Schizosaccharomyces pombe: one gene and its partners. Changing the gene in region 2 together with the main gene of any one other region gives a genetic interaction. Each region holds a gene or a part of one and is shown on either strand. Other genes may lie near its edges. The genes, in order: cmk1, prz1, gsf2 and ncs1.

Region 1 (7,041 bases), 950 kb from region 2:
GGCCATCTACGGCTAGTGAAGTGGTATCAGATTACTTTGAACAGAATTCCGCTTTTTCTAAAGCACCAGAGAATACTGAATCATCTGTGAATCAAAATTATATAGTTGGAAATCTCGTAAAGCAGTTTCAAGCTCATTCTGAATATATTACGAGTCTTGATTTTTCCCATCCTTTTGGAACTTTAGCTACGGCCTCGACTGACAAAACTGTGAAAGTTTGGGATATGGCGGGTGTTGTATACCTGGGTTCATTGAAAGGTCATTCTGATTATGTTTCTTGTCTGGCGATTCAAGACTCCTTTATTGCTACTGGCTCTATGGATACAACCGTGCGGTTATGGAATTTAGATAATGATGTACTTCATAAGGATAATCCTGTTGAAGAGAGCCTTAATTCTCCTCCCGATCAACCTGTTGACAATGCCACAAATGTTTTAACATCTCACACTGCCCCTGTCACTGCATTAGCATTATCTAGTGATGATGTGCTTATAACCGGTGCCGATGATAAAACTGTTCGACAGTGGGATATCGTTACGGGGCGTTGTATTCAAACTTTGGACTTTGTGTGGGCGGAAACTCATGATACATCTACTAGTCAAATTTTGGTCAGTGACACTTACAAACAAGAACCTTTCATCAGAGCTTTAGACTGCTTAGATGCTGCTGTGGCTAGTGGGACTGTCGATGGACTTATTCGCATCTGGGATTTGCGAATCGGTCTTCCTGTGAGAAGTTTCATTGGGCACACAGCTCCTATTTCTTCTTTGCAATTCGATTCCAACCATTTGTATTCCGGAAGCTATGACAATTCTGTTAGAATATGGGATTTACGAAGTGGCTCGCCAATTAATATTATACCTATGGAGAAAAAAGTGAATTCCTTAAGACTGTATCAAGGTCGTCTTGCTGTAGCATCTGATGAACCAAATGTTAGGATATTTGATACTGTATCTAATCGGAACTGGATTTGTTCAATTCCTTCTCACTCTGATTCCATAGCAGCCGAACCTAACTCAGTACCTACTTCTGTTCAATATAAAGATCGCTTTTTGGTGGATGGAAAGTCTGATGGATCTGTTAGCGTTTTTTCTGCTTAATTTGTATTTTTTATCCACACCTTTATTTATTATACTCTCGTTATTGTGTTGAATCTGGATAACGTTAATTTTAAAATTTTATGTCTTTATGCTTTGGTTAATGGGTATTAACTTCTGTTTGGTTTTTTTATTTATTTATGGACAAATAAAAAGGAACGAGACATTGCGAATAAAAAACTGTGATGTTAATTTTGTTCAAAATATTTAAAAAAATTCTCAAAGCAAATTGTTTGATCACCACCTCCCTTCTGCTTCTTATACTGTAGGTTTAAAATTTAGTAAATAAAAATCTTTTCTAGTTTACATTTTTTTGGTTTTACTAGTATGAAGTACGCAACCTCATTCTGATCTGAGATGTTGTATTTCATTTTGTTGATCCAGTTTACAAAACACGCTCAGCGTGTTTAATGTCAACTACACATAATAAGTATTGAAGAATCTTTTTGAAATTAGCAATTTGAACTCACACAGTGAGTAAAATATGGAAATAACCAAGCTCTTTTTATATTTCAGATTAACTGAATGGTCATTTTATTTTTGAAGCATAAATAGTCATAAATGCTAAAATTTCAAAATTTTACATCTGCAATATATATAGAGAATTAAACAACTGCGTTCATCTGTCGTCAACAGTCTAACAATGTCAGAAAACTGGTAGCGTTACTTTTTAAAACATCGACATAACTTTTAGCATTTTGTATGAGGCTATTTTAAAAACTAAGTAGAGAACATGATAGGTCCAAGCATTCCAAATCACAAAGAATATATTTAACATGTAAGAGTGTTAATACCAAAAAAGTATGTACTGAGGGCAAAAGATAATAAAGAAGTCATAAGTCATAACAAGATAAAATAAGAAAGTTATAAGAAAAGATGTGTATAATTAATGCTTATTCTCAAGCTTTTTCCAAGTGTTGAAAGCACGTACAGCGTTATAGGCAGTACGGAACGTTTTTCTTGCATTGAAATTTTCCCGGACGTTTGGAAGCAAATTGGAGGTTGCGGGACGCTTTTCAGACAGGAAGGGGTGCTTCAACGCATCAGCAGCAGTTAAACGTTTCGAAGGGTCGTTTTCCAAACATTTTTTAATAAAGTCCTTGGCCGTTTCTGAAATGCCAGACCAGCAAGGATCGTTAAAAGTGTACTCGTTAGCTAAAATTGCTTCTATAACTTCAACCTGAGAAGGTCGAGCAAATGGAGTATAACCACTGAGTAAAAAATAAGTTATAACGCCAATAGCCCACATATCTCTATAAACAGTATTAGTCAAGATACATAACTTCTGAATTAAAATGGTAGTTGATCAACTTACACAGGTTTTCCATATCCGGTTCGACGAAAGACTTCGGGTGCCATGTACTCTGGTGTCCCACATGCCGTCATGAGCATATAGTATTGAGAATCCTCATAAAAGTGGGACAATCCAAAATCGGCAATTAACAAATCTGAATTCGGATCTTTAGAGCGATAAAGTAAATTTTCTGGCTTCAAATCTCGATGTACAATTCCATTGTCATGCAAGTACTTAACTGCTGATGTGGTAGTACGCATTAAAGCAGCAGCATCGGCCTCATAAAATGAACCTTTGGCACATATTCTATCAAAAAGTTCACCACCGGTGGCCAGTTCAGTGATTAAGTACACTGTTTCAAGGGTTAGTGAACAAAACACATCACAATAACATTTGATTCATCAAATCGAAATCGGAGACATACGATTATTCACAGTTTCAAAAAAATCAACCAAGTGTAAGATATTAGGATGTTCATAAGAAACACGTTTTAGAATTGCAATTTCATTCTTCACCTATACCACCAAAAACATGTTAGTAAACGTAAATAAGGATGCTGTAAGTACTTAAGTCTTTACTTACAAAGTCTTGTTTCTTCTCCATCATCTTTTTATTCATAATCTTAGCCGCATACATTCTATGAAAATTTGGTCAGCAAACAACTCGAATTTAAAATATACTTACTTGTTAGTTTCGATATGAACGGCTTCACGAACCGTCGCATATGTTCCGCCTCCCAAAACCCGACCGACACGATATTTGCAAGGTAATAGTTGTTTCTGATCCACCGTAGCCTTTGGAGCACCGTCTTTCAAGGCCGAGGTGTTTGGTTTGTATGTTTGCTGCATAGCTGTAAAGAATCAATAGATGAATTATTCCAATGCCAACGAAGGTAAACGTAAAAGGTTTCTCTTAATGTAAATTATTGTATTGTTAGATGGTGCCATAAACAATTCTGTACTACAGAATTCTTTTATGAAACCAAAAATGTAAAGGTATGTAAATGAAAAAAATCCCGTAGAAACAATAAAGAAAATATTATTTGCGCGAAGCAGGCTGTTGAGTTAAACGGTGGTTCAATAACAGAATGATCTAAGCAGCGCAATGACTGTCCACCAACTTATGACAATAAGTGCTTAGCCTCAACTTGTAAATATGGAAAAATTTGGAAAAGGTATATTGAAATCCTCGGATTTAACAGGATATTGATATTGAATGTACCCGAATAGTATTGATGAAGATAACAAGAAAACCAGCGTCTGATAAATACCGTCCAACTGATTTGCAATTGCAAAACCAGTAGTCTGCAGTATAGTCATAAATCCTGGTAATTCCCAATCGGTTCAGTAATTTCCGTACCTATTTTCCTCTTCTAAGAGAAAACAAGATCAGAAAGATCAAAATTACAATTAGCGTATTGAAACCACCAAACACTGTAACAATGCAACACAATTATTTAAAGAATTGAATTTAATTATACAATCCTTAAAAAATCGCAGTTTTATGAGCAATTGGCAAAACGCGAACTGCTTGAAATTTCGCTGATATTACCAGCTCATGAGAGTTAAGTAGATATAACAAGCCATCATGGCGAATATTGGTCACTAACGTATACCGTAATAATGCGCTATCCCATGCATTTTAGTTTGTTTAAATACAGTAAGCGTATTAACAACATAGAACAGAATACGAAAAGGTAACCACGTAACAAAGATTCATACTGTAACAAAAATTGTGAAAAACAGACTGAGTGTAAATTGAGCTAATAAAATCGATTTTGAATGATTACTTTTATAATCTTTTCCATCTTGGAAGAGGTATTTAGTTATTTGAGAAAGAACCGAACTACCTTCTGAAAGGAATACCATACATTTTACAATAGCAGTGAGTATGGTATGTTAATTTCTCATATGCTTCTTGTATGATAGTTAGTCGAAATGTATTGGAGATAATGTTGAAGAAGTAAATAGTAAAAAATGCGCATGCATGCTTGACTCCATTTGTTCTACAGTACTTTACCCTTGCTATGATATAAATTCAAAGTATCGGTTTAAACAGACGAAACCAATAAGGGTTTAAACTCACATGGGTTTTTGAAGGAAGATGAGTCTACAATGTAAACTATTCAACTCTTAAATAACACTTTTTGATAAATCGCGATATAGCCAAAAACTAGAAGAACCCTAAGTAACTTCTTCTTATTAAGGTATAAAACAAGTTTTCTACATTGCGAATAACGAATAGAGATGAATGCATTAATTCTAACATTGAAAATAATATAGTCGATCCTTTGGATTCCAAATAAATTATGAAAACCATTTAAATCATTAATTAAAAATAAATTATGAGATGGATGCAATAAAAACCTGAAATTAATCAATAACCTTGAACCATCTTTGTAGGTGCCTTCCCTAAAAAGAAATCTATTAATGGAAAATTGCTCAACAGCACTAACGGAATTAAACCTGCAAGCATACCAAATTCTGAGCTAGACTCAATGTAACCCAATTTCTTCATCTCCGACAGTGCAGCCACCTCAAGTTTTTCGCTCACAGCTTGTTTATCCCTACAGCCTAAAAACATGGTTATACTCTTTTCTGTCTCGAAAGAAGGGGTCAAGGTTGCAGGTTGAATAAGTTCATGAAGACAACTCAAAAGTGAGTTTAAATTTCCAAATTTTACTACATTAATCCTCGACCGAACACTATCTGTTACATCAGATAATCTCAAATCGAGTTTCGTATGTGTTTGAGAAGGAATAAAGGTCTGAGAATGCTGGTCTGTTGTAAATCCGTTTGGCTTAGTTATTTTTCGAATGTTTTTTCGAAGTTTCGGCCATACCTTAAAAGCTGAGTCATTATGCTTGCTTAACAGCACTTCACTTGTGTAAACGACATTAGGCAATGACGTCGCATAATCATCTTTATAGAATTCATCATATGTGTAAATATAGGCTATACTCGTCTCTTCATACAAAAACTTAAGTAAAAGCTCCAATGCAATTAAATCATTTTCAGTACCCAAATATATGAGAATTACAACCTTGCTTCTTTCATATGTAGAGCCTTTTTCTTTCACACTAATCTCAACCTGATCAAAGGACTTCTTGTCCTTTTCTAATTGTTCAAAATCATTCTTCGGTGAACCATACTCAGTACTACGTATGATAGGCCTAATTTTTTTCACTGATAAATTGTGAGGATTACGTGTGAAAAATACTCCAACTGGGATCCGGGCCATCTTTATTAAAGGAATCAACTCATCCAAAGATTTAAAAGAATCACCCAAAGCTAAGCGGATGGAACTCAAAGACAGAGGAGAAGAAGAGCTCTCATTCTCAATTGTTTTATAATCCTTCAAATAGGGCATGATCAAAATGTTTGAAGAAGACTTCTTCAACGTCTCAAGAACCACATTGTAATAACCAGTTCCACTCACTAGCAAGGCATTGCTTTCGTACTCAAATTTTTTTATTTTTACAAACGTTTCAAACAATCCCATTAGTGCTTCATTTTCAACCTTATTATCGACCTGTGAGGCCCTCAATAGATTTGAAGTACGAGAATCAACAAAAAGTGTCCAAATACTATGAATAATTATTTGAGGCAGATGTAGACAGCCACTCACTTTATCACGGTTCTCATAAATATGTTGTATAAATATCATAGCAGCAGAAGCATCCAATGGATGATTGATTAAAAAGGAGAGTCGAGTCGGCAATTCTGGAAGATACTGCACAAGCTCTTCGGAACTTTCAATAGAATTGTCATCATGTTCACTTTTAGTGAACCGCAGAAAGAATTTAGTCATAGGGGTGGTGACAAATGTCGTTATAACAGCCATAAACACAAACATGGAGAAAATTGTTTCATTCAATATTCCAGTTGAGAGACCGATGTTCAAAACAATCAATTCAACAAGGCCCTTACATGACATTAACGATCCAACGACTAGTGAATCCGACCATGGCATTTTGAGAATCCGAGCAGCAAGCATACTAGATCCCATTTTAGAAGCTATGGCAACACATATTGTTCCAATCGTGTATCCCCATATTTTCCCAGTGTTAAGCGTAGAAATATTTGTCTTCAATCCTGAACTAGCAAAGTAAAGTGGTAGAAACAAACAATTTACTAAATCTTCTATCTTTTCTGTGATCTTAACGGTTAAATCGTTTTCATGGGGTATAATGGTACCGACAAGAAAACCACCGAAAATTGGATGAATGCCGATAATGTCGGTGAAGAAAGCAGAAACAAGGACCATTGATAAAACAATGCATATAAAAGACTCAGATGGTTTATCCTTTAAGGACCTGGTTTTAACTGCTAATAAGTATACAAGCGGTTTTATCGCTATGAAAAGAAAAAGGCACCACCCCAAAGCGAGCAGTAGTATATATACAGCTCGAACACCGGAGCCACTATTTACCAAAGTAACTGACAATGCTAATAAAATCCAGCCGATAACATCGTTACCAATGCCAGCACTAAGAACGATTACGCCGACCCGTTTATGTAATAAGTGCAATTCTGAAAGGATGCGGGCCAGCACAGGAAAAGCGGTAATTGACATAGCTGTGCTAATAAAAAGTAGAAATTTACCAAATTCAAATTCTCTAGTTGTAAATTTGTATAGGCCTGCGGATAT
Region 2 (8,271 bases):
CTTTGGAACAAAAATCAGAGGACCACAAAGGAGTGGCATATTAGTGAAAAAATGTGTTAATCTTGAGTGCAATCCGTGCTGTGACAAATTTTCGATTTGAGAATTGTATTTTAAATTATTCCAAAATGTTATCACAAACACCCCATAAAACTTGTAGTCCTCGAGGATGCATGCTAAGACAGTTGCAAAAGAAACTGAAACAAAAATACATAAGTGCAAAAAGATGCTAATCCAGTTAGTGTTTATTCCATAATATATTTTTAATTCAATTTAAAAATCAAAATCACTTACTCTTTCGGATTGTTCACGTTCTTTTTAAAACATCGAACAGAAAAATAGATATAGGGGGCGATCACAAAAGCTAAAAAAGTGATTCTTGTGAAAAATCCTAATACACTAACAATTGCAAGCAAAAATGTATATAAATAACTAATTTTCTTGTTTAATGGCTGATTCTTGTTAGTTAAGAGTTGCCAGCTATTAACTTACCACACTATTCAACTTCGAAAGAAATAGTATAGTTAAAAAAAAGAAAATCGTTTCAATTGAGTTTGTAAAAGTATGTGTTTGAAATGTAGTAGCCATGAAGGATGAGGAATATAAAAGCAATGCACTCCATCTTGCGTTCAAAGGTACGATGTTCCAAATACTCAAATCTGCCAAAATTAGTCAAGGAAGGAGGAAATAAGGTTTGTAGTAAATTCTGAAATAAATTCCAAATTTATCAGAGCTTAATATTCGCCAATGTACATACCTATTAACAAAGAGATCAAACACATATAGAGTCTAGTGAACAACAAAATAGGATACGGAGAGCAGTTCGCTTTTGGATATGTAAGAATTTCGTTCAATTTAAAATACACTTACATTTGCAAATACACCGGCAAAGCAAGAAAATAGGTAAAAGCATCACATTCAAAGGAACTACAGACCGAATTGGTTTTTTAGTAGTAAATTCCCATGGAAGTTCCACTTTCCAGCCAAATAATTTATCTTTATATTAGTCATAAATTGTTGAAGAATTGTAATATACTTGCGAATATTTGAAACGATTGTAAATGCTCATCCGGATGTATGTATGAGCTGCCTTGCGAAAACCAAAAGCGTAAAATTAGGAGAAAAGTATAAATTATAGCATATTTACGGTTTTTAAACATCCTTAATCTCAATGGATAAAGCACGGGATTTATTGCTTCAGTGTGCAATGGATTACACGATGAAGATATAACGAGATATTCCGAACTATATATGTTTGTTATGAAAAAGGTTTGCTAAGCGAAAATGTAAACAACTCTTGGTCGACGGGTATATGTTTAAGAATACACGAAGCATACAAAAAGTATACGTTAAACTAATGTTTCAGTAAAATAATTGTACTAGAAGAATTGCAGGTCTTATTACATTTTAAATTAATCTAACTCAATACCCAAAACATAATTAATTTTAAACAAATCTAATATTAAAAGCCGTATTTTGGATCAACGATGGGGTAAAATCAATCACTAAGTATAAACAATGTCAACTCTCTTTAAAAAGGGCAAAAAGTTAATAAACTATAAACGAAGCCAAACGTAACATCAAAGATAAAAAATAATACAAAACCCTAAATGCAAAACTGTGCAAATACTTGCATCACATTGCAAAAGGAAATATAGTTAGACACCCATTAATCACAGGTGCAAGCAAAATGTCTTGCTTTGGAAATTAAAACATCATTTTTGTTTGCTTGTCGAGGCCACTGCTGTCTTTCTGGATGGCGGAACTTGAATTCCTCGTTCTGTGGCCGTGCGAAGACAATTTTGTCCAACTTCACTTTTATAATGTCGGTTAAGTGCATCCATGCGAGCAAACCTCTGATTGCAAGTGACACATGCAAAGGCTTTAATGCCAGTGTGTAACTGCTCATGTCTCCGTTTATCATGCTGTCTAGCAAATGATTTCTTACAAATCGAACATTGAAAGGGACGGTAATTTGTATGTGTATTCATATGACTTTTCAAATTATAAGCCCTAGTAAAACGCTTATTGCAACCAGCAAATGTACAAACGTAATTTCCTTGAGACTTAGACTCTGACTTTGCTTTAGACGAAGACGAATTTTCCGATTTGTTTCCTACTAGCGAATTCAATGATCGACTTCGAGGACGAGTATTTCTAACTGACAAATAATCGTTCGACTTAGAATTATCATTCTCTATTTTTCCCAGCAGTTCGGTATCTTGGTTAACAGATAGACATTCAGAAGAATGTGAAAAGTGAGTATATAATTGAGGTATGGGCTCATAAGCATCAAATCGTGAGCCAGCACTATTTGATCGATGACGAGCCGTATATGTGGGTGACATTTCAGGAGCACAAAGATTAGCGTTTTGTAAGTCATAAGAATTTTCATTCATAGCAGGTTGACCAGATACTGGAGATGCAGACTGGCTATAAGTGATACTAATGTCTGTTTGAAGAAGAGGATTTGCTGGCAAACTAGGTCCAGATTGGGATTTGGAAGGAGATGAAGGTACTACATTAATTTGTGGGGTACCCGAAAAGTTGTTTGAATCATAATTCAAAACGGAATTGCTTAAAGCGGTAGGAGAAATAGGGTCAAAAACGTGTGTTGTTAAAGAGGCATCTGCATGGTCCTCAGAAAAAGGAGAATTTACAGAACGAATAGTAGATTCTCTAGCATTTTCGCTGTTTAAAGTCCTTCCGGAGTTTGGAACAAGATATGGGGATGACTGGTGAGAAAATTCAGCGGAAGGACTGTTCTCAAATATGAAAGAAGGTGTGGAATGGTTAGACAATAAATCAACGGAAGGATTCAAATTGGTATTATCCGTATCAAAATCTATACCAGTGTTGCTTTCACCAGGAGACGCGTTCGTAAAGGCCCCCAGGCTCCCGGAAGAAGGTGGTTGAAGGTAGTCAGCAAAAGAACCGGTTCCGGTAATATTTTGTTGATTCTCCATCAATAAAGATGGATCTTCAAAATCAACAGAAGGAAATCTCTCTGAATCAACTTCAGTTCCAGATGCCTGTGACATTACATCAACAAAATTAAAAGCATCGGCTTCATACAGAGCACCAACAGAACCTTGTAAATATGGAGAACTCGGATTTGAAACAGATCCTGAGGGAAGGAAGGATGTTAATAGCTGAGGCGATGAAGATGGAGAAATTTCAGAAGCCGCAATTGCACGTGAAACTGGTAAGAACTGAGAAGAATCGATATTTGAAGACGGAATACCAATATTAAACTCATAAATGGATTGTCGTCTTGAGCCAACATTGTTAACAGTAAAGTCGTTGGCGTTATGAGTAGAACTCGAACCTTGAGTCAAGTCAAATGCTTGCGGACTATTTGATGGATTACTTAAAGGGCTAACGGAGTTTTCAAATACCGCTTGACTACCGAAGCCACTGACTGAAGTATCGTTCAGTTCTGTAAATGAAAAAGTAGGTACATTCCCGGTTCGAGGATAAGAATCATATTCATCGGATTTTGAAGACGTTTTAAAAGGCTCGGAGGTGTTGGGATGGAGGTGCTGAATATTATTTTTAGAAGGATTGGAAATTAAAGAAGAAGAAACTTCAGACGCAAGAGTATCCTCAAAAAGGGGGATATCAGCAAGCGAAGTGTCATTCATGTACGTATGCAACTCGCTAGAGCCTCCAAGATCCGGCTTTGAAAGGTTATCGTATAAAGAAGAAGGATTCAAGTCTTTGAATCTACGATTCGCTTCTTCTGACCTTTGACGCTCCATCGATGAAATTCATCAAATAATTAACTTTTGGAACGGTACGCTCTCAAAAATATTGTCTGAAGACTCACCAACTCTCTTTAATTGAATGGTTAGACAAATTATTTTTCAAAAAGCCTATAACGTGAATTTTTTGACCGAATAGTAGAGTAAAGCTGGTTTGTAGTAATAAATTGGATAAACCAGCAACACCAAGGGTGTGAAATTTATTAGTGGAATGAATAATTAATTACCAAAAGTATCGTTTAATAAACGAAAAAATTAAGACTTGAGGTCGTCAAAGTTAATCCAGTGCTTCACAGGATTTGATCAGATAACGACAGAATTTCTTGATACAAAATTTTGTATTTTGGAATAATGCGCAGGATAAAAGTCTGAGAAGATTGATGGTTAGTACAATATAATTGTTAGCTAAGCAACGTCAAAAAGGGCATTAAGCAATACAAATGAGAGGAGAGAGTGCGACAAATGAGATTTTCACAGATCGAAATGAGGAAGTAACCTAAAGGACAGCACAAGAGAAAACCCTTTAACGATTAGGAAAAATTGCAAAATTAGGTAGACAAGTATACAAGCGCAAATCGCTAACTCGACATGAAAAAAAACAGAATAGCCTCAATATACTACAGCGTCAGCTAAACGCTTTGATTTTCACAGAAAAAAAAATGATAGTTTAATAAATGGCCAGCAGATTATATATTTACAACGGATGAATTGCTAAATCATCAAGATATTTCTGCGATGTAGTGGTAAAGGATTGCACAAGACGTGATCGGGTAACGAATTTTAAGTAACACGCAGTTTAAACTTGAAGTTAGTATGAAGCAGCAGGATGCTAAAGAACAGTTTGCTAAACAAATTAAAAACAAAATATAATAAATTTCCATATACAAAGGATCCCAGTTAAGGAGTTCCAGAAATGAAAAAAAATTGGTTTTTGAAGGATATTCATCCAATTTTCTATTGAAAATTTACTGGACTTACTAAAGGGTGGCGACTTGTGTATAGTAAAGTGATGAGACATGTATTTTATACAAAGCACAAATAGCTAAATAACATGAATGTATGAAAATTTGTTTTATTTATTGAGCGACATCAAATATATATTCTAGTTTAAGGGGTAGGAAGCAAAGCCACATACTTTAAAGTGCCGGTTATTAGTTGAAGGCGTGCCCAAATGTAATACCACTTACAACATGGAGAACTTCCGTAGGCTTGTCAAGAAGCATTAAACCCCAAAGCTTGAAATTCATGAAATTAGCTTTTCAACACCATCCGAAACTCATTAGTGGGGAAGCAGAATAAGGTGTAGTACTACTTATAAATTGTGGAATAATTCTAAGTTGAAAACATAAAGTACTATAAATTATATGTAAGAGACTTCAAACCACCATGCAATTCTGACTATTGATTATTTTTGAAGAATCTTCTCTCACGATACGACGGACGGCGGCTTTGACGAGTTCCAGGCTCTTTGGTGCAGAGGCTTAGTTGAATGTTGTGAACGAAGCGGTTCATATCGGATACTTCAACCGATGTTCTGTCAACTAATATATATCATATTTGCAAATATCAAGAGCATTTCTTGTATTAGATTACCTAGATGCAGAAAATCCCAATTGTAATGCAACGAAATTGCGTATTGTAATAAATGGTATAATAATCTTATTAAGTATTTGTACTTCGTAGCAAAAGATGACTATATTGTGTTGTAAGAGCAACCTATACACCTCGTTTCGTAAGTTCTTTGATGGCGGAAGCTTCATGAGAAGCTAAAAATTCATAGTATTCTTTCAACCTCTGAAAGACTGATTCTCCGTTCCATAAGTCAATCCCTTCACTATTTTTCGTGTGTGCCGGCAAACCGTGTTGTTGAATGACAAACGAAGCGGCTACAGTAGCTTTAGCACAAGCTTCTATAATATTACCCGTCCTATAATACTCCAAGATTGCAGCTCCACAAAAAGCATTACCAGCCCCAGTGGTATCTAAAACGCTTCCGTTTTTCATTTGTACACTTGGCAAATGAAGAATTTCTCGCACAGGGACAACTGCATCGCTTGTAGCGTTGGTACTACTCGTGCATGCACCAATTAAACAACCATCGGACCCATTTCGAAGAACAACCCATCCTTGAGAATCGTGCCCAATTTGGAATTCTTGAAACGCAGATACAAACTCTTTGGCTCGAGATTTGCTTTCGCTAATATCTATACCCAGAAGGTTGGCAGAGTCCACCTCGTTTGGAGAAAATATATCACAATACTTTAAGGCTTTTTGTAAAATATGCCAGTTTTCCGGTAAACAGGATTCAGGCGTTGGCTCCCATACGATTTTAGGACGATTTTTTAGATTTCCATACTTTGCCAGTTCCTCACACACAGAGACAAATGTTTTAGGATTTGTAATAATATGAATTGTTTTTGCATATATCAATCCTGTTTCCAAAAGATCAGGAGCACGAATTGGCTTTTTAGGTGTAAGGTATTCAAACAATCGAAAACCATTGTCCCTGAGACGGTTGTAACCATATGTAGTTTTTCTCCAAGGCGTTTCTCTGTATACAATTCCAGTATGTAAATCGTTTAATTCATCGAGGATCACCTGCGGGAAATCAGAGCCTTTGTCAACAATCATTCCCAGTTGTTGACTTTCGGGTTCAGACGTCCAGAGTCTAGCACCAATCAATGCTGAAAATAATGTGTTAATTATTATTTTAATAATAAAAATATTGGACGCAATGCATCTTTTTTCTAAGGGAGAGGATTTCAACCTTCGATAAACAGATATGCTTCACCAATGAAGTTCGCAAATCGCTCCGCTTAAAATTTTAAAAAGAATTAGACACTTACCAAAAGATCCTGCACCTCCAATAATATCTTTAATCTTCTTTCCGCCGTCGAATTCAATTTCATCTATAATAAACATGCCTTGCATTCGTTAGCACTTATATGTGAAAGTTTTTACCAGTTGTGACGAATTCCACATCTTTCGAAGGATAATCCATTTTGTTAATCCCAAAAAATTACTGTAAGTTGTTTTTTTCTTAATTATAAGAACATATATTGCTTTAATGTTGGTGCATTAAAAGTCAGAGTTAGCGAACATCTGCAGATAATCTACGTAATTATCAATAAACATCCTGCACTCTGTATAGTAATTTAAAGGTAACATGGCGAATAATTAAATAAAATATTTCATATTTATGAAGGAAGTGTTGAATCATGCTGAAAATTAAGTATCCGTAAAAAATGTACTTTTGCATTTGCTTACTTTTGTATGAGATGAATGGGCATACTACTACATACCATATATCAAGCACACATGTCATACTTAGAACATTGTATTTTCCTAACGATATATAGGAAGTACTCATCATTCTCAAAAAGGAATTATCACTTTCCAATATAAAATTAACTAATCTAAGTGTTAGCAATGCAACAGTCCTGACCAGTCAATTAGCAAGCAATATAGCTAAGTCTACTCTTTTATAAAATTTCAAATGTTACTTCCCAAAGCTTTGCTCTTTAGTGCGGAATGGTAAGATTGGGAAAAAGAAATTGAAGTCGTCTAATTGCATCTGGGTTACGATGCTTGTGATTTGTTTGAATCCCATTTTGAACACTTTCTCGCAAGTTCCTTCCCAAAAATCCTTGCAAAAGTGGAGCTTCTAACTTTTTGACGGCTTCCAGTAAAAAGATTTTTGCATTATCTTTATTGTTACTGATATGTTCCATCACGGTTTCAACAGTAACAGGCTCCTCATTCATGCGCCAGCAATCATAATCCTATTTTTTGTTAAAATTCCTTCCTAATAATAAGTTCAAAGTACTTGTCTAAAAAGCATGGCTTTGATTTGAGAGGTACATTGAATGTTAAAAACTTACTGTAGCCATGCAAACCATTTGGTAGGCAATCTCAGCTTCGCGAGCTAGTTTGGCTTCGGGAATGACTGACATGTTGATAATACTGGCTCCCCAGCTTCTGTATAAATTGCTTTCTGCACGCGTACTAAATGCAGGACCCTCCATACACACGACAGTAAGATCATCTCCTTTGCGTTTGGTATGTAATTTAGAACCATTTTTTAAGTTGGAGCCGCATGAACTTAAAATTTCATACAAGTCTTGATCAAATGGATCACCAAACGAAACATGAGCTACACAACCAGATTCAAAAAAAGTGTTTGGACGAGCACAAAGGGTGCGATCAATAATCTGTGTAGGCAGAACAAAATCCTCCGGTGGAATATCCTCCCTCAAAGATCCAACAGCGCTGAACGAAACAATTGCCAAAACACCTAAACTTTTTAAAGCTGCGATATTTGCTCGAGATGGAACTTCTGTAGGTGTATAAATGTGACCGACACCATGTCTAGCCAAAAATGCAATCAAAAAACCAGAGGTTGTGCGGGCAATGGAAATTGGAGAAGCTGGATAACCCCATGGCTGAATAAAACGTTAGCAAATCCCAACTTCCAGTTAATCTTCATCATACCGTAATAGGATTGACACTT
Region 3 (10,791 bases), on a different chromosome or scaffold from region 2:
GTTATATTCACCAGCCCCAATTTGATGTAACGCATTTCGCAGTTCCTTTCTGCACCCTACTGTTCTTTACGGTACATCACTCTTATTGTTAGCTACGCAGTTCGGTATCTGTTTACCGATACATATTGACCCGCGGTGAGTTTCTCTTGCGATCTACAATATAACGGTAAAGCGGTATGCGGTATGTTCACTAGTATCTTAGTATATGACATATAGTGATACGCGGCGTAGTAAATTATATAGTGTAGTGCTATATTGCTGACGCACAATTCGCTTTACTGAATTTGTCTAAGCTGCACAATTTTTTTACTGTTCCCGCTACGCCGCCTTACCTTTGTAGTACATGTGACTAGACAAACTCGCTCTTTTATCACATCTCACTCTTTTACACTATGCGTTTTATCGTATTCCTTCATTATACACTATGCATGCTGTACTTTTTAATGCTACACTAAAAATACGCACACTTATTGCTTTGAATTCATTTACATTAACTTGTCACTCATTCACTATTTTTACATTAGCACCTTTTTTCTACTTATGCTGTTATTCTGAAAACAACAATAGAATATCTTTAAATGATAATTTGTTATTATAAGATAACTAGTTTAATTCCATTTATTCTAAAAACATTAACACCTCATGATCGTTTGTTTAAATTAGAGTAACAATATATACAAACAAAGAGACAAACGTCAAATAGGCAATTGGCTTATTAGCTCCAGCGGAGGATGGGTATAAGCCAGTAACGTTGGTGTTGTTACCGCCTGTGAAACCACCCGTCGTGTAGTAGGTATAGTTATAGGTAGCTGAACCGTTCCATTGACGAACGGTAGACCAAGTAGATGTACCAGATCCTTGATAAATAGGATTGCTAGTAACAGTACTGCTTTCAGGTGCTTCGGTAGAAGAAACAGTTTCGGTAGCAGGAGCTGAAGTGTAAACACTAGTAGTATAATAACTAGTGGTAACAACAGTGCTAGGCTCGTACTGGGTAGAGGAAGTAGTGTAAGTAAAAGCACTAGATTCTCCGGATACTCCAGTAGTCGTAGTAACATGAGTGACAGGATACACGGTTGAGCCAGGAACGACAGTGCTAACCACAGTAGAAGATACAATAGTAGTGTAATATCCACTTGAAGAAGTCTCAGTAACAGCAGTAGTAGGTTGAACCTCAGTAGCAGTAGTGACTTGAGTCTCAGTACCAGCAGTTCCAGTAGCACCAGTAGTAGTTTGAACCTCAGTGGCAGTAGTAGCTTGAGTCTCAGTAGCAGTAGTAGCTTGGGTTTCAGTACCAGTAGTGACTTGAGTCTCAGTACCAGCAGTGCCAGTAGCACCAGTAGTAGGTTGAACCTCGGTAGCAGTAGTGACTTGAGTCTCAGTACCAGCAGTTCCAGTAGCACCAGTAGTAGGTTGAACCTCAGTAGCAGTAGTAGCTTGAGTCTCGGTACCAGCAGTTCCAGTAGCACCAGTAGTAGTTTGAACCTCAGTGGCAGTAGTAGCTTGAGTCTCAGTAGCAGTAGTAGCTTGGGTTTCAGTACCAGTAGTGACTTGAGTCTCAGTACCAGCAGTGCCAGTAGCACCAGTAGTAGGTTGAACCTCGGTAGCAGTAGTGACTTGAGTCTCAGTACCAGCAGTTCCAGTAGCACCAGTAGTAGGTTGAACCTCAGTAGCAGTAGTAGCTTGAGTCTCGGTACCAGCAGTTCCAGTAGCACCAGTAGTAGTTTGAACCTCAGTGGCAGTAGTAGCTTGAGTCTCAGTAGCAGTAGTAGCTTGGGTTTCAGTACCAGTAGTGACTTGAGTCTCAGTACCAGCAGTGCCAGTAGCACCAGTAGTAGGTTGAACCTCGGTAGCAGTAGTGAGTTGAGTCTCAGTACCAGCAGTTCCAGTAGCACCAGTAGTGGGAAGGACCTCAGAACCAGTAGTTGTAGGAGTATTAATGACAACCGTAGTGGTTCCAGTAGCAGTTCCAGTAGGAGTAACTGTGACAGTAGATGTCTCGGTTCCAGTGTAACCAGTTGTAACAGTAACAATGTCGGTTTCAGTCGCAGTCACTGTGGTAGGTGTTTGAATAACAACTGTAGTGGTTCCAGTGGAGGTTCCAGTAGGAGTAACTGTGACAGTAGATGTCTCGGTTCCAGTGTAACCAGTTGTAACAGTAACAATGTCGGTTTCAGTCGCAGTCACTGTGGTAGGTGTTTGAATAACAACTGTAGTGGTTCCAGTGGAGGTTCCAGTAGGAGTAACTGTGACAGTAGATGTCTCGGTTCCAGTGTAACCAGTTGTAACAGTAACAATGTCGGTTTCAGTCGCAGTCACTGTGGTAGGTGTTTGAATAACAACTGTAGTGGTTCCAGTGGAGGTTCCAGTAGGAGTAACTGTGACAGTAGATGTCTCGGTTCCAGTGTAACCAGTTGTAACAGTAACAATGTCGGTTTCAGTCGCAGTCACTGTGGTAGGTGTTTGAATAACAACTGTAGTGGTTCCAGTGGAGGTTCCAGTAGGAGTAACTGTGACAGTAGATGTCTCGGTTCCAGTGTAACCAGTTGTAACAGTAACAATGTCGGTTTCAGTCGCAGTCACTGTGGTAGGTGTTTGAATAACAACTGTAGTGGTTCCAGTGGAGGTTCCAGTAGGAGTAACTGTGACAGTAGATGTCTCAGTTCCAGTGTAACCAGTTGTAACAGTAACAATGTCGGTTTCAGTTGCAGTCACTGTGGTAGGCGTTTGAATAACAACTGTAGTGGTTCCGGTAGAGGTTCCAGTAGGAGTAACTGTGACAGTAGATGTCTCAGTTCCAGTGTAACCAGTTGTAACAGTAACAATGTCGGTTTCAGTTGCAGTCACTGTGGTAGGCGTTTGAATAACAACTGTAGTGGTTCCAGTGGTTCCAGTAGGAATAACTGTAACAGTAGAAGTCTCAGTACCAGTATAACCAGTTGTCACAGTAGTAACGGTGCCAGTAACAATGGTTGTAGGAATGATATACGAAGAGTTTCCATAAGGAATCTCAACTGTGTTGGTAACAACAGGGCCAGAGGAACCGGTCAATGTAGTTGTAAGAGATCCGGAATATCCAATGGTAGTAGTGGTAGTAGTAGCCGAAACACTGGGAGTTTCGATATAAACTGTAGTGGGACCAGTCTCACTTCCACTGTGAGTAACAATAGAAGTAAGCGTGGTTGATCCAGTCCAGCCAGTCGTAATAGTAGTATAACCATAATTAACACTAGTAGTGGTAGGGACATCAACAGTTTCAGTAACAATGCTATTGCTACCGCTACCAGTCAAAGTAGTAGTTACCGAACCAGAATATCCAACAGTAGTGGTGGTAGTGACAGTTGTGGGATAAGGAGTCTCCACATAAACTGTAGTAGGTCCAGTCTCATTACCACTGTGAGGAACAGTAGTGGTAAGAGTAGTGGATCCAGTATAACCAGTGGTAACAGTGGTGTAACCATAGTTAGTAGTAGTGGGAACCTCAACAGTATCAATAACAGTACCATTGCTAGGAGCTCCAGTCAAAGTAGTAGTGACGGATCCAGGATATCCAACAGTAGTGGTGGTAGTGACAGTTGTGGGATAAGGAGTCTCCACATAAACTGTAGTAGGTCCAGTCTCATTACCACTGTGAGGAACAGTAGTGGTAAGAGTAGTGGATCCAGTATAACCAGTGGTAATAGTGGTGTAACCATAGTTAGTAGTAGTGGGAACCTCAACAGTATCAATAACAGTACCATTGCTAGGAGCTCCAGTCAAAGTAGTAGTGACGGATCCAGGATATCCAACAGTAGTGGTGGTAGTGACAGTTGTGGGATAAGGAGTCTCCACATAAACTGTAGTAGGTCCAGTCTCATTACCACTGTGAGGAACAGTAGTGGTAAGAGTAGTGGATCCAGTATAACCAGTGGTAATAGTGGTGTAACCATAGTTAGTAGTAGTGGGAATCTCAACAGTATCAATAACAGTACCATTGCTAGGAGCTCCAGTCAAAGTAGTAGTGACGGATCCAGGATATCCAACAGTAGTGGTGGTAGTGACAGTTGTGGGATAAGGAGTCTCCACATAAACTGTAGTAGGTCCAGTCTCATTACCACTGTGAGGAACAGTAGTGGTAAGAGTAGTGGATCCAGTATAACCAGTGGTAACAGTGGTGTAACCATAGTTAGTAGTAGTGGGAACCTCAACAGTATCAATAACAGTACCATTGCTAGGAGCTCCAGTCAAAGTAGTAGTGACGGATCCAGGATATCCAACAGTAGTGGTGGTAGTGACAGTTGTGGGATAAGGAGTCTCCACATAAACTGTAGTAGGTCCAGTCTCATTACCACTGTGAGGAACAGTAGTGGTAAGAGTAGTGGATCCAGTATAACCAGTGGTAACAGTGGTGTAACCATAGTTAGTAGTAGTGGGAACCTCAACAGTATCAATAACAGTACCATTGCTAGGAGCTCCAGTCAAAGTAGTAGTGACGGATCCAGGATATCCAACAGTAGTGGTGGTAGTGACAGTTGTGGGATAAGGAGTCTCCACATAAACTGTAGTAGGTCCAGTCTCATTACCACTGTGAGGAACAGTAGTGGTAAGAGTAGTGGATCCAGTATAACCAGTGGTAATAGTGGTGTAACCATAGTTAGTAGTAGTGGGAACCTCAACAGTATCAATAACAGTACCATTGCTAGGAGTTCCAGTCAAGGTAGTAGTGACGGATCCAGGATATCCAACAGTAGTTGTTGTGGTTGTGGTAGGGACTGTAACAATAAGAATTGTTGTTGGAGGGGGACAACTAGTACTTGTTGAACCAGATGTGGTTACAATTAAAACCGTTGCTGGGTTGCATGAGGTGCTAGTCGTATCAGCTACAAAAGTTGAGCTCGCTTCAACAGCATTTGAAACTTGTGAACCTGAAGTGGTAGTCGAATCAGGAAGAAAGGTAGATGGGCTTGCTTGAATTGCATAAGAAGCTTCTTTCCCTGAGGTAAAAGTGCTAATAGCAGTCATGGAAGCGTCGTTGCTAACGGGACTAGCAGTAATGTAGTTAGCATCATTTCCATTTTTTACTGTGAAGGTGCTAGTAAACATGCTAGGATCAACAGCAGCGTCTCTGCCAAGTAAGGTTGGCATATCGTCAACTAGGAAATTTGGATCCGCAAGCTCGGTCTTTGGAAGTGAAATATCGTGAGGCACTTCATTTTGTGATGCAGAGGAAAGGTAATCTTCAGGTTCCATTCCCTTTTGCAAAATCCTGACATTTCCAGAAGGTAGACCAGAAGTCAAGGAGGGAAGAAGAGCAGCCGTGAAAAGTAATGCCCGAGCAGATGTGGATAAAAACCTTCTAACAGACATTGTTGATATATTCAAAAACGGGTAAGTGAATTAGAAAAAAACAAAATTATTAAGATAATTTAACCAAACGAATAAAAAAATTAAATATTATCAAAAACAAAATTAAATCCAATGCTTGACGATTGGTGTGCAGAGCGCGTTTATTGATAATATGATAGAAATTCAATTAGAAAAATAGTGAATCCCAAATGAATAAAGCTCGTAGTTTCAACAGAGAATGAAGAAAAGAGGGTTTAAATGAATGCAAAATTGCGAAAAGATTAATGAAAGAAATAATATATATAAATAAAAAATAACTGGATGAAAGGAGATTCGCAAGCTGTATTACCAAACCAACCCAAACACGAAATTACCCAGTGTTTATTTTGTGTAAATGTAGGACAACTTAAAACCCAATTTCAACCCGAAATCCTAGACGATAGAATGGGGGATGTAAAGAAAAAAGGGGAGAATATTAAAAAATAAATGCTAGCCAGATTTATTTTAAATTATTCAAATGAATGTAAAATACCCACTTGTAATTCAAAAGAATGTAGAATATGTACAAGAGCAGATTTGTTTCTCAAAAAAAAAACAAAATTGGATGCTGGCGAAAAGAATGAGTGAAGATATTGTTATCACAGATTCGTGCAGCGAAGAGAGATCAAGTCGCTTTCCCAAAATAAAGATGGAAGGAAGGAAACAAATGATGATACAACAAAAAAAAGAAAGTTCCAATAACCAAACTCTAGCAACCTCAACAAAAAGAGAGAGACAGATGGTGTATATGGAATAGGTAATCCTTTTTTTTTGCAATGTTCGAATCTTTCTCGATGCTTTGCTTTTATAGAAGAAAGTCAACGATCTTAATCTCGTTAAGAATGTTTTGGATGTTCAATTGATGACTGATTGACGAACACTCGACCACTCGCCTTCAATGTAGGAGCGAAATAACTTTCTTAAGTAGATGCGGCCATATTTATAAATAACTACACCCAAACCAATCTGTGTGAAATTTTAGCAATGAATATTTACGGAATTTTTCCTTTGCGACTTTTTCTATACCCCTCTCTCTGTACCCCGATGACCCTTTTCTCAAATGTTCCCCGTTTTTGCAAGTTTTTCTTTTTTTAGAGAAACATTTTGAATTCGAATTTAAAAAATCGTTGTCACCTATGTGGAAGACCCCGCGATAACATAAAACCTCTTCGCAAATTCTAATTTCGGCTAGGGAATAATCTCTATCTCGGGAACATGGAGGTAAGGATCCACTTTTGCATTCTGTGCTGGTTCCTAAGAATATCGAGGTCGAGCGAAGAAGAAAATTTCGATATATGGAATAACGAGACCGAGTATGCTAAAGAAAGAGAAGAAAAGAAGGCTGATTACAGGAGTAGTGTAGAGGATGTAGCAAGCGCAATTTTAATTGCAATTAAGAAGCTAGTGAAACAAGAGATTAAGATTTAATTTGTGGAGATGACAGGAGAGAAATGAAAAAGTGCGACTATGAAGAATGATGAGTAAGTGAGTGGAAGTGTAGTAGAGATGGGGTTGTGGTAGCGAGAAAGGCGGTGTTTAGAAGGATGTAGTAGTAGTTCATGCAATGTCAATTCATTAGTTATGCAACGTCTAAGTCGTTAGATTTTCAATGTTTGCTTAGTGATCAAAGCATTTATAATTGAAATTTTTTAGTTCAATTTTAAGGTGGCAGCGTTCAGTTGCTATTTTTTCGCGTCTATTTGAATTGCGACGATTGTAAACGAAAAATAACCTTTCAATATTATGGATGGATGTCCATTCGCGCATTGGAAAGTTTCTACTGATTTGAATGACTTTTTACGCGTCCTTTTCCAATTTCTTTTCCTACAATTTTTGGCAATTGTTTTTGTTTTTTTTGTTATCACCACTATTGTTTCATCTTCTCCCTCCAACTAGCGTTCTCCTCGGATAAAAATACTTGCATTTACTTCTATATGTCCAATTCATAAAATTACAAGTATGTCAAACCTCTGCCGGCTTATAGTCCAGCTTGCCTTGGAGGCAGAATGCATGGCGGCGCTCACCAGGTGTTGTCAATCTGGTCCCGTAGAATGGTGGTAATTTTTGCAACTCTCATTACTCTACGCTAATTATATATACTGCATTCTTAAGTAATATAGTGAATCGGAATGAGTTTTTTTTTTTTTTTTTTTTTTTTTAAGCAAATTGGATCGGAAAAACAAGGACAAGAAATGAACGAAAGCCTTGATAATTACGAGAAAAATTACATAAAATATATGGAAATCTTTTTAGAATGAAATGAATTCTTTTGCTTCTTTTCCAAACGTCAAAGCCAACGTACTATATCCTTTTTGCTACTGTGTACATGCTACGCTCTACTTCACTAAACAGTCAGGTCAGTATGTACTATTTTCGGTCAGTGTGTACTTTTTGCTCTGGTTGTGATTAAAGCTAGTTTGGCTTAGCCATCATGGATGGTAAAGCCGGCAATGCCTAGGCACATGTTGAAATGGTTATTTTTATAGAACTAGCTATTTTGGATGAAAGTTTGAGAAGGAAACCCGAGAATATAGACTCACGAATAAAGAAACACTCATTAATTATTCGTTTAAAAGATATGAGAAGAAGTTAAAACAAGAACCTTTCTATTTTCATCCACCATTCACACAACAAATACTTTTTGTTTGTAAGCAGCTTCTTGTGTTTCTCGTCTATTTCTGTAAATAACCAACATCGGATAGCACACCCACTTTACTTTCTATTCTTAGTAGCCGTCGTTATTTATTTTTAGCAGTAACCCGCTCCTGCCGTACTAAACGGCATTCATAAACGGAATTAGTGCAGTGTAGTGTAGTGCATTCAGTGATCAAAGGGGATCTTATTTTCTTCGATTGTCTTCTAAGTTTCTCTATTTTTAGATGGACATTTTAAAAAAAGTCTTCTTCGTGTATTGTAGAATACCTTACCCCCAAAAATAAAAAAGAATAAAAAAAGAGAATCCTGAATCACACACACTCTCTCTCTTTCAAACATTTTTTTTTTCTGTGGAATTGTCAATTTATGTGCTGCGAAACTTTTCGCTAATTTCAACTTTACGACTCGTAAAATGCTTCGTTAAGCAAAAGGGGTAGGCTTATATACTATTAGTAAATAACCATCGGTCCGACAAGGCAAGAGGGCAATTTCGATTATGCATCCAATTTTCATAAACTGTAGAAGGGAAATTAGATAAAAAAGAGGTGGCTGAATCAGATGCTTTTCTTTTCTTTTTTTTTAATTCATTATTTGTTTTCACACAGTAAAGTTTTATGTGTACATACGAATTCACCAATATTCATACACTCGGGTTCCCATGGAAAACAAGGCAATCAAATTACGATAAAAAAATATATATATGTAAAGAAAAGAGCAATCGTTAATTGTTGTTGTTGTTGTTTTTTTTCGAAGAGAAGTCGTATTTGTTTCTTTTTTTTCTTAGACATTTTATTGTTCCTTACCTTTATTTGTTCTTCCATGCTTTCTTTATTTACATAGGGTCTCCGTTACTTGATGTTCTTTACCTCTTCCTCGTGCTGAAATTGAATGGAATACGTCATGATTTCGGTAAATCAACCCTTTAAATTTTCGGTAATCCTTGACCAATGTTTGTTTCTCAAATACAAAAACACTAAAGCTTATACGTCATGACATGATGTTATCTGTTCGTTGAGTGGAAGGATGATGTCAAACACATTGTCCAATTGCGGCTTTTAAATTTCGCTTCCTTGTTTATTTATGGCATCATATGAAGAAGGAGAACATTGTGACTCCATTCCGCTTCGTTATTCACCTTTTCAAAACAAGAGGTTTCTACGATTAGCGAGGTCGTCGTTAAGCATAATTAAAGAGAAGAAGATATACAAGATGGTAATTTGATTCTTTATTTCTATTTATATTTTATTTTTTACTTTGATACTTGTGTCCCACTTGTTAATTCTATTTCTATATTATTTTTTCCACTTTTTTAATTCTATTTCTGTTTTCTATTTTCTAATTTTCCGCTTGCTACTTTTACTTCTATTTACAAACTCTATGCCTATCGTGCGTGACTTTCTAAACAAGTCAAGGTTTTATCGTTTCATCTAATGTTTTATGGCATGTGGAAAGTTTGTTAACCTTCCCATAATTTTAATATGGTTTCATATTCAATTTCTCTTGTTTTCTCTTATTCTCTGTTGGAAAGGAAAAAAAGTGGTTGAGAGTATCATTTGTTTCTTTCTACTTTTCTCCCCTAACTATTGTGAATCTATCATCTTAATCTCTCCCCGCTTTACAATCATTCAATAAGGAAAGTATTAGGAAATGTTGCTGACTCCCACTTTCTCTTTCCCTCTCCCTCTCCCTTGCTCCAAGGGGATGGATGTTGAATGTTCAGAGACCGGTATTAAGGTGGAGTGCGTTGTCGTTATTCTCATGAATGATGGAGTTGGAGAAAAAACCGATTTTAAGAGGGAAGCGATGAAAGCTGGGGGTTGAAAAGGATTGGAGTGGAGTGGAGTGGAGTGGAATGAATTGAATTGAATTGGATTGGAAAGGAAATGAAATGTTTATGTTTATGTTTATGTTTAAAAGGATGATTTGGTTTTCAATTCAAAATTTCAAGCTGTCAGTCTTTTCTTTCTTTATAATCGCTTTTTTTTTTTGTTTTAGTTGTCATACTTTCTGTGTGTTTCTGTTTCCCGCCCACTTTCTATGACTCTTGTCGAATTGTCACACATTTCTTGCGTATACAGTTGGCTGGCTTTTTTCCTTCTCATTTCGTCTGTGAATTTTAGATAGGCAATTGAAAACATTCACAATGAACAAGGGATACTTAGCATTCTTTACAACAACCTTTTTCAACGTTTGTTTCTAGGGAAGCATATTTCTTCAACAAACCGATTTCATCTTTTTACCCAATTAATTTAGTAAAGGTCATTTCAAAATGTATCACTTTTTGAGAGAATGGGTTTGTTGTGCGTCGTTCACTAAATCACTCTCATTCTAGTCGACGGAAATATTCTTTTTCACTGTGGTGGTTGTTGTTGTTATTGTTTTTTTTTTTGCGTTTCGTCATTTCTTTTTTTCTCGATTATGTGGAAATGCAATTTGTTAATGGAAAGGCTGGATATTGGATGATGCTTGATTTCCTAATCGTTCACTAATATATTAAATAATCCTTGTTCAACCATTTTCATTTCCTCCTGTGTTCTTCCATTACCTACATTTTTACTTGTTTCAATTGCAATCTACCATCCATGAGGACATGAAGATTTCTAATTTATATTATATAGACATACATGTTTACACACAATGTATATATATATGATAATTTCTTCTTCTTTCCGACTTGGCCACTTATTCCAATGAGTTCCCCTTGTTTCAACTTGTGTATGTTTCTATTTTTGAGTCGCTAAGCTAATTCCACGTTGTTTTCATAGACGTGCA
Region 4 (6,565 bases), 480 kb from region 2:
TACAAGGTTGCATGAGCCATTGACCAGTAGAGAAGTGGAAGAGCTGAAGACATTCTGTTTAAAACTTGAGTGTGCATGTGGAAACAGCCTATATAGAGATATAAGGCACTCAGGACAAGATGCGATTTGATGGATCGGAAACTGTGTAAAGTGGATCCAGAAATTGAATAAAACAATGCAAATAAGATGGGTATTATAGAGAGTAAAGCAAATAAAAAGTTTGGGATATTGTTAAGGGTCCAGTAACGCAAAAATCCAACGTTCCAGTACTTCTCTTGGACCGCTGGATAAATAAGAGGTAATGATTTATTACACCAAGCTACTCCGGGGCAAAATAATTTGAATCCAAGATACTGGTTGTAGAAAAAGGGAACAAGTATAATTAAGCATTTTGTTCCATAACCAACTAGCTGGGAAACTTGCATAAATGTAAGTTGTAATCGTTCTAAGCTTATTTTTAAGGTCCCAATAGCTGGCATTCCAAAGAATATGCACCAAAATATTCCATTGCTACGAATTAAGGTTGCAAGAGACCACAAAAATGCTGCGGGATATTGTTGCTTCTTTATGAACAAAAGCAGCCCCAAGAAACTGAAAGCAGCAAAGAGTGATTCTGTGTAACCCACGGACATATATATTCCAGAAGGAGAGAAACAATAAAATATCACTGTATAAGCGGTCATTTTTTGATTTGAGAAAATGGACTTCGTTAATAGGTAAAGGGCATAGCAAGCAATTGCATGAAAAAATATAGAAGCAAAACAAGAAACTATGCCTAAAAGCACAACATCCTTGCTTCGAAAAGCAAGAAAAGAAATAATTTTTGGCCATAAGCTAGAAAAAGCCCATTCTTGTTCAAATAGAGAACCATTGACAGCCATATCAACAAAATAGATAGCATCCCATCGAATCCAAGATATGAACAGGGTTCTAAATATATTTGATTCAGCTAAACGTGATCGATTTTGTCGTAGATATAACATTGCAGTATCATCAAAAACACACAAGTGTGACATTATTACTGCAATGCCAAGATAAAGAATCGTAGAAAGCAAAAAGGTGCAAACACAGATACCTTTAAAGTAGTTATATCCCGACCTAGTCATCCTTATCGCTAAGTAACTGTTCGATTTTTTTTCTGCGTTTTTCATCGCGGATTCGTTTAATTTCATTATGTATTTCTTCTGGTTCTTTTGGTAATTCCTTTTCTTGAGTATCCCAGAATGTTGACTAGTATTTTGTTAAAACAGGTCTTATATACAAACATACATGTTCAATATGTTTTCGATAATAACTAGGATGTCCAATATAATACATTGCTGCTAAAGGAAGCGCACAATATAAAGTAAACTTTTTAATTAGTATGGTTCATACCTTATTTAAAAATGAATATTCATACCTTGAAAAACTCCAAGTTCAGGCCTGCCATTAAGAAGTTGGGTGTTGCCGTACTAGGGTTAAGCCTACTAAAATTGCAACGTCTTTATGCGAAGCATTTATACATAAGAAATTTCTCAAATGAATACACTCATAAATGAATTGAAAGCCACAAAATTAGTATTTAAAAAAGATAATTACTTATAAATATCTAAATCGACTATCAGGGTGATAATCTATAAAGACAACCTAAAGCTTAATTTAGCTAAGCATGACCACACTCATTAAAATGTGTGAAAAATAGATGATTATTAATGGAGAATATATTAACAGTAAAAGAAAAGTAACGTTTGAAAAACTCGTAAAAGATGTCAATTCGTTTTCGGACTAAATTAATTTAACTGCCCTAGCTTTCAGGTACAAATAATCCAGTGATTGCACAAGAATATATGAAAACCGCATTGAGCAAGAACCTATGTAAAAATGTCTCGCGCTGAATTATTTATAAATAGTTTCTTGAATTTTATCTAAAGCAAGAGCCTAAAACCTTCATTATATTAAAAAATGTAATAAAAGGCAAAATGTACTTTCATTGAGTGAAGCAAAAAAGAACAAGGAAGTAAGCCAGAAAACAAACAACAGATATGTTAAGTAAAAGCACAGTAAAACTACCTTATTAATCTCACCAACAAAAAAGTTGAGAGGTAGACAGATAAAAACGAAAATGTAGTTTAATCGAAGATATATATGCAGAAGAAAACTTTGATAATAATGCATACTAGGGGTGAAAAGCTAAACCAATCCATCGTATAAAGAAAGGGCTGACACGATAGTCGGATCACGTTTGGACCCTTCGCAGAATTCCTCAAGTGTCAGTTGCCCATCTTTGTTTTTATCCATCATATTGAAAATCTTGTTGACGCGCTAAAAAATTATTAGACATTATGCTCAACATACTAAATATTCAAACCTTTTCAGGAGTATCTTCATCCTCCGGTAACTTGACCATGCTACCAACCATTTTGTAGATAGCATCAACAATTCGTAGCATTTCGTCGTAAGAAATCAATCCATTATTATCAAGATCGTATAATTGAAATGCCCATATAAGTTTATCATTCAGTTCACCTCTCGAAGTCACACTTAAAGCACAAATGAATTCTTTAAAATCAATGTATCCATTTTTGTCAGCATCAAAAACATTAAATACATATTCAGCGAAAGCACTCGGATCACCGAATGGGAAAAATTGTTTATAGATTTTCTGAAATTCAGACTTATTCAAATGGCCAGAAGGGCAGTCTTTAAAAAACCCTGCATACTTGTTAGATTCAGCGTTAAACATTCAATTTAGCAGCAATTAAGAATCTTATTCAAATTGCAGAACCATGATGCGGATGTAAAATCAATTTTTTTAGGATAGCTGTCATACCTTTATACCATTGTTGCAATTCCTTTTTATCAACTTGGATTTGTTAGTATTGACTAGTTTTACAAAACGTACACCTTGTAGAACGAACTAAGTCTTGGAGTTGATCTTGAGACAATTTTGATTGTGATTTTCCCATCTTGAAGACAAGTTAATCTTTTCTCAGAGGATAGTTGGTTTAATTTATAATTTTTTTTAAGTAACTTGTCGGATATTAAAGTTGTTTAGCAATTAGCAGTAGTTGAAGTTGGGGAGGCGCAGGGTAAATTGAGTTGTCAATCGACAAGTTGTAACTAGTGTTAAATGGTATTAAAACAGTTCCTATTTGGCTCATTATAAAAGTAAATTCATCTTTTTTTAATTCTAAGATATGTAAATTTACGTATACATGTTTGGCAGAAATTTATTAGAAAATTTTTAAACTAGTGTATTCCAGATATATAACAATTTATGTGAATAATAAAATATGCAAGCTTTGTTGATACTTATGTGAACGAATATAAAAAAATATTTAAATAGTAAGCATAAAAAATGATTTTTTATAGATCACTGAAAACATCAAGTTGATGTTTTGAAAGTTCATTTGTACATTAGTTATTGATCTTGTAGTTTTACCTTTACCATCCTTTATTACAGTTCAGAAAATACATTTTTTATATTTTAAATCTATCTGTTTCAAAAATAAAAATATGAACAAAGTAGCTGGAATTTAACTACAATTGATTATCGATGGATATTGAGATTCCACTGCGCCGCTTGGTAAATTTATGTAAATTTTCATTTTTTACGCGTTGAAATAACTCACCACTGATTAAATAGTGCATTCTCTCATTATTCGGTTTCAAAACTATTGAATTGTCGTTGAAGCAAAGCTATTAATATCATTATGGATACCTACATGGAAGAAAGAGAAGCAGGTTGGTAATTATGTTTAACATTTCTTCGATTTTCTAATCATTTTCTTACTAATGTCTACAGGACGGTTGGAAATTTATTCCGTCAAGAGGAATGTCTTAAATATGTTTTCTATAGTAATTGTTTCTGCAACTTACTCTATTTCGCTCGATTCGACAGTTTTATATCCAGCAGTATATCATGCAATTGTCAATCAACCGATGCTAGGTGCTAGGATCCACAATTGTCATAGCAAAATTCCCATTGTAAAGAAGTTGAAAACAATAGACCTTGATAAGGTCGTTAAATATGCTGATGATCAGAAAGTTGATAGCTTCTGCAATAACGCTCTTCAAAATTTTAAGCTATGTTATGACGATGAGACACTTCCTCTTTGGATGGTCTATGTACTAAATGATAAGTCCGAATTAGTTTTTATATATGATCACTCCCTTTTCGACGGAGGAAGTGGCCCTTTGTTTCATAAATATGTTTTGGAAGGATTACAAATGTCCAAAACAAATTTTTCATCTTCAACCGTGCCAGTATCAGAATTACCACTTCCTAAAAATCTTGAAAAACTAATAGATGTTCATCCTTCATGGTTTTGTCTAATGAAAGCACTATGGACAAACTCTGGACTTCCGTTCTCTAAGGGCTTTCGGTCTCCTTCTTATAAAGGTCATGCTCCAGTGCGTCCATTTTCATCGCATACAATATTCTTTTCAATTTCTAATGCTGTTGTTAAAAACATCAAGCAACTCTCAAAAAACATAGACGCTTCTTTCACTTCGATTTTTTATTCTGTCTTTATGCTCAGTATATATTATGCTATTGCTAAAAATGGTAAAGTTAACCTAGATATGCTCATTGATGTGAATGCGCGCCGTTTTTTGCCCGTAGCCAAGCAAACCATGGGAAACTATGTGTTTTCTTACGTTCATCATCTAAACGGTTTTCAGCCAAGTCAGCGTCAGGAGGACTATAAACATACCATGGTAGATTTAGCAACTGAGTTTTCGCATCGATTAAAAGCAGCGCTTAGCAATCCTAGGGAGATGTCTCAACAAATTGGATTGCTAAGTTATATTGATATTGAAGACTACCTTTTAAAATCTTGTGAAAAAACTAGAGGAAATACGGCTGAAATATCTAATTTGGGGTATTTTAGCTTTCCCGCCGATTCGTCGGTAAAAATCAAGAATATGGCATTTGCACAACCTTGTTCCAGTCTTTCTGCACCTTTTGTACTAAATGTTATAACAGTAGCAGATGGTCCATGTTCGTTTTCCCTCTCTATTTTTGATGATGGGAACACCGAACAAACTCATGAGCTGGCTATAAAAATAAGGGATAAGTTTCTAAGTATTCTCGAAAAGGTTTCTATGAATTCATAGCCGTTCCCAGTATAAAATATCATCGACTAATAGGTTTGTTTATTTTTTTACCTATTTTTATCCATTCTTCTCCTATTTATAGATTTCAAATTGAGAACAGGTTATTCGAAAGAATTTTTGAATTATGAAAAGTTTGAAGCTTTATACGCACTTTTTATTAAGGTAATGCTGGTTAATTCAAAGATTTCGAACTTTTCTTGAATAGACACCTATATTATTCACTTTCGAAAGTCTTCTTATTAACAACAAAGAGCATGTAGTAAAAATTTTTTAAATACCATAAATACTTTTGAGTAGCTGAACACTATAAGTATTGTTATCCACAGGTTGAGTGAGTACGAGAATAATACCAAGACAACTACACTCCTTTGCCAACCGCGACTTAGATTTTCACTTCCACCATTAGCGGATTAAACTCAACCATTCGCTTGTGGTCTAAGGGGATGTTAAAAAGACCTAAAAGAGATCCTTTGAAAGATTGTGAATACGTTTTTAAAGGCGACGGGCTACGGCGAGTCCCTCCCTACTATTATGAATACATTACCTTCGCGAAGCTGAGGTGGTACGGTAAAACTCTTTTAGAGGTTTTCAATACCGAATTTAGGGACAGGGAATCTGGTTATTATGAAAAGGCAATACGCAATGGTCAAGTTAAGGTAAACAATCAGATTGGTAACGTTGACACATTGATTGAAAATGGATACATAGTTTCCCATCATGCGCATCGTCATGAACCACCAGTTTCTGACCAACCAGTAGGCATAGTCCATGAAGATGAATCTTATGTTGTTATTGACAAACCTGCTGGTGTTCCAGTGCATCCTACAGGTCGCTATAATCACAATACTGTTTTACATATTTTGATGAAAGAAAACAAATGTTCTCTGTTATATCCTTGCAATAGATTAGACAGATTAACTTCTGGTCTGATGTTCTTTAGTAAGAGTCCTAAAGCCGCTGAAGAAATGCGCGTCCATATGATTAGCAAAAGCCTGAAAAAAGAATATGTTGCTAGAGTAATAGGAGAGTTCCCCAATTCTGGTGAAGTAATTTGCGATGCTCCGTTACTTACTGTTGCACCTACTTTAGGTTTAAATAGGATCCATCCGGATGGAAAGGAGGCCAGCACCGTTTTCAAAAGAATTGCGTTTGATGGACACACATCCCTCGTGCTTTGTAAACCACTGACCGGAAGGACTCACCAATTACGGGTTCATCTACAGTATCTTGGTTATCCTATTGCTAATGATCCTATATACGCGAATAAAAGGGTATGGGGTCCTTCTTTAGGGAAGAATGGAGAAGGCAGCAATGAATCTGTAATTATGCGACTTTCCGAAATCGGTAAAACTGAAACTGCTTCTCCACTCTTGCAATATGAGTGGTATACAAATGAAACAGAGGCAGAGGCCAAGGCCCGTAGAGACAAACGCCTCGGGGAGCTATTAACTGGTAAACACTGTTCCGA

The links.
Region 1: of prz1 (region 2) and cmk1, changing one suppresses a phenotype caused by changing the other (phenotypic suppression), as found in Schizosaccharomyces pombe (one study listed by BioGRID).
Region 3: of prz1 (region 2) and gsf2, changing one suppresses a phenotype caused by changing the other (phenotypic suppression), as found in Schizosaccharomyces pombe (one study listed by BioGRID).
Region 4: of prz1 (region 2) and ncs1, extra expression of one impairs growth in a mutant of the other (dosage growth defect), as found in Schizosaccharomyces pombe (one study listed by BioGRID).

The regions. Positions count from the first base shown.
Region 1 is NC_003424.3:1,735,849-1,742,889, forward strand, and holds cmk1 (calcium/calmodulin-dependent protein kinase Cmk1), read right to left. Parts: upstream 3,453-7,041; 5' UTR 3,240-3,452; coding exon 3,076-3,239; exon of another isoform or gene 3,029-3,075; coding exon 2,974-3,028; exon of another isoform or gene 2,907-2,973; coding exon 2,816-2,906; exon of another isoform or gene 2,744-2,815; coding exon 2,413-2,743; intron 2,351-2,412; coding exon 1,984-2,350; 3' UTR 1,605-1,983; downstream 1-1,604. Other genes in the region: mdv1 (CCR4-Not complex subunit Caf4/Mdv1), read left to right, coding at 1-1,100; potassium ion/proton antiporter Kha1, read right to left, coding at 4,768-7,041. UniProt on the Schizosaccharomyces pombe protein: Important in cell cycle regulation.
Region 2 is NC_003424.3:785,407-793,677, forward strand, and holds prz1 (calcineurin-responsive transcription factor Prz1), read right to left. Parts: upstream 4,507-8,271; 5' UTR 3,759-4,506; coding exon 1,713-3,758; 3' UTR 1,372-1,712; downstream 1-1,371. Other genes in the region: smp3 (alpha-1,2-mannosyltransferase), read right to left, coding at 1-226, 292-449, 490-656, 755-823, 868-993, 1,034-1,157; SPOM_SPAC16C9.01C (carbohydrate kinase), read right to left, coding at 5,478-6,445, 6,608-6,685, 6,723-6,762; mta1 (S-methyl-5-thioadenosine phosphorylase), read right to left, coding at 7,283-7,543, 7,643-8,203, 8,253-8,271. UniProt on the Schizosaccharomyces pombe protein: Involved in the regulation of calcium ion homeostasis. Binds to the calcineurin-dependent response element. Transcriptionally regulates pmc1.
Region 3 is NC_003421.2:958,627-969,417, forward strand, and holds gsf2 (protein Gsf2), read right to left. Parts: upstream 7,387-10,791; 5' UTR 5,347-7,386; coding exon 655-5,346; 3' UTR 573-654; downstream 1-572. UniProt on the Schizosaccharomyces pombe protein: Galactose-specific adhesion protein essential for non-sexual flocculation and filamentous growth. Required for adhesion and filamentous growth through recognition of galactose residues on cell surface glycoconjugates. Induces flocculation when overexpressed.
Region 4 is NC_003424.3:308,490-315,054, forward strand, and holds ncs1 (calcium-binding protein), read right to left. Parts: upstream 3,066-6,565; 5' UTR 2,946-3,065; coding exon 2,882-2,945; intron 2,843-2,881; coding exon 2,810-2,842; intron 2,692-2,809; coding exon 2,348-2,691; intron 2,302-2,347; coding exon 2,170-2,301; 3' UTR 1,668-2,169; downstream 1-1,667. Other genes in the region: gpi18 (dolichyl-phosphate-mannose--glycolipid alpha-mannosyltransferase PIGV), read right to left, coding at 1-1,230, 1,262-1,317; SPOM_SPAC18B11.03C (N-acetyltransferase), read left to right, coding at 3,693-3,723, 3,785-5,097; pus9 (tRNA pseudouridylate synthase), read left to right, coding at 5,541-6,565. UniProt on the Schizosaccharomyces pombe protein: Negatively regulates sporulation perhaps by controlling Ca(2+)-dependent desensitization of git3.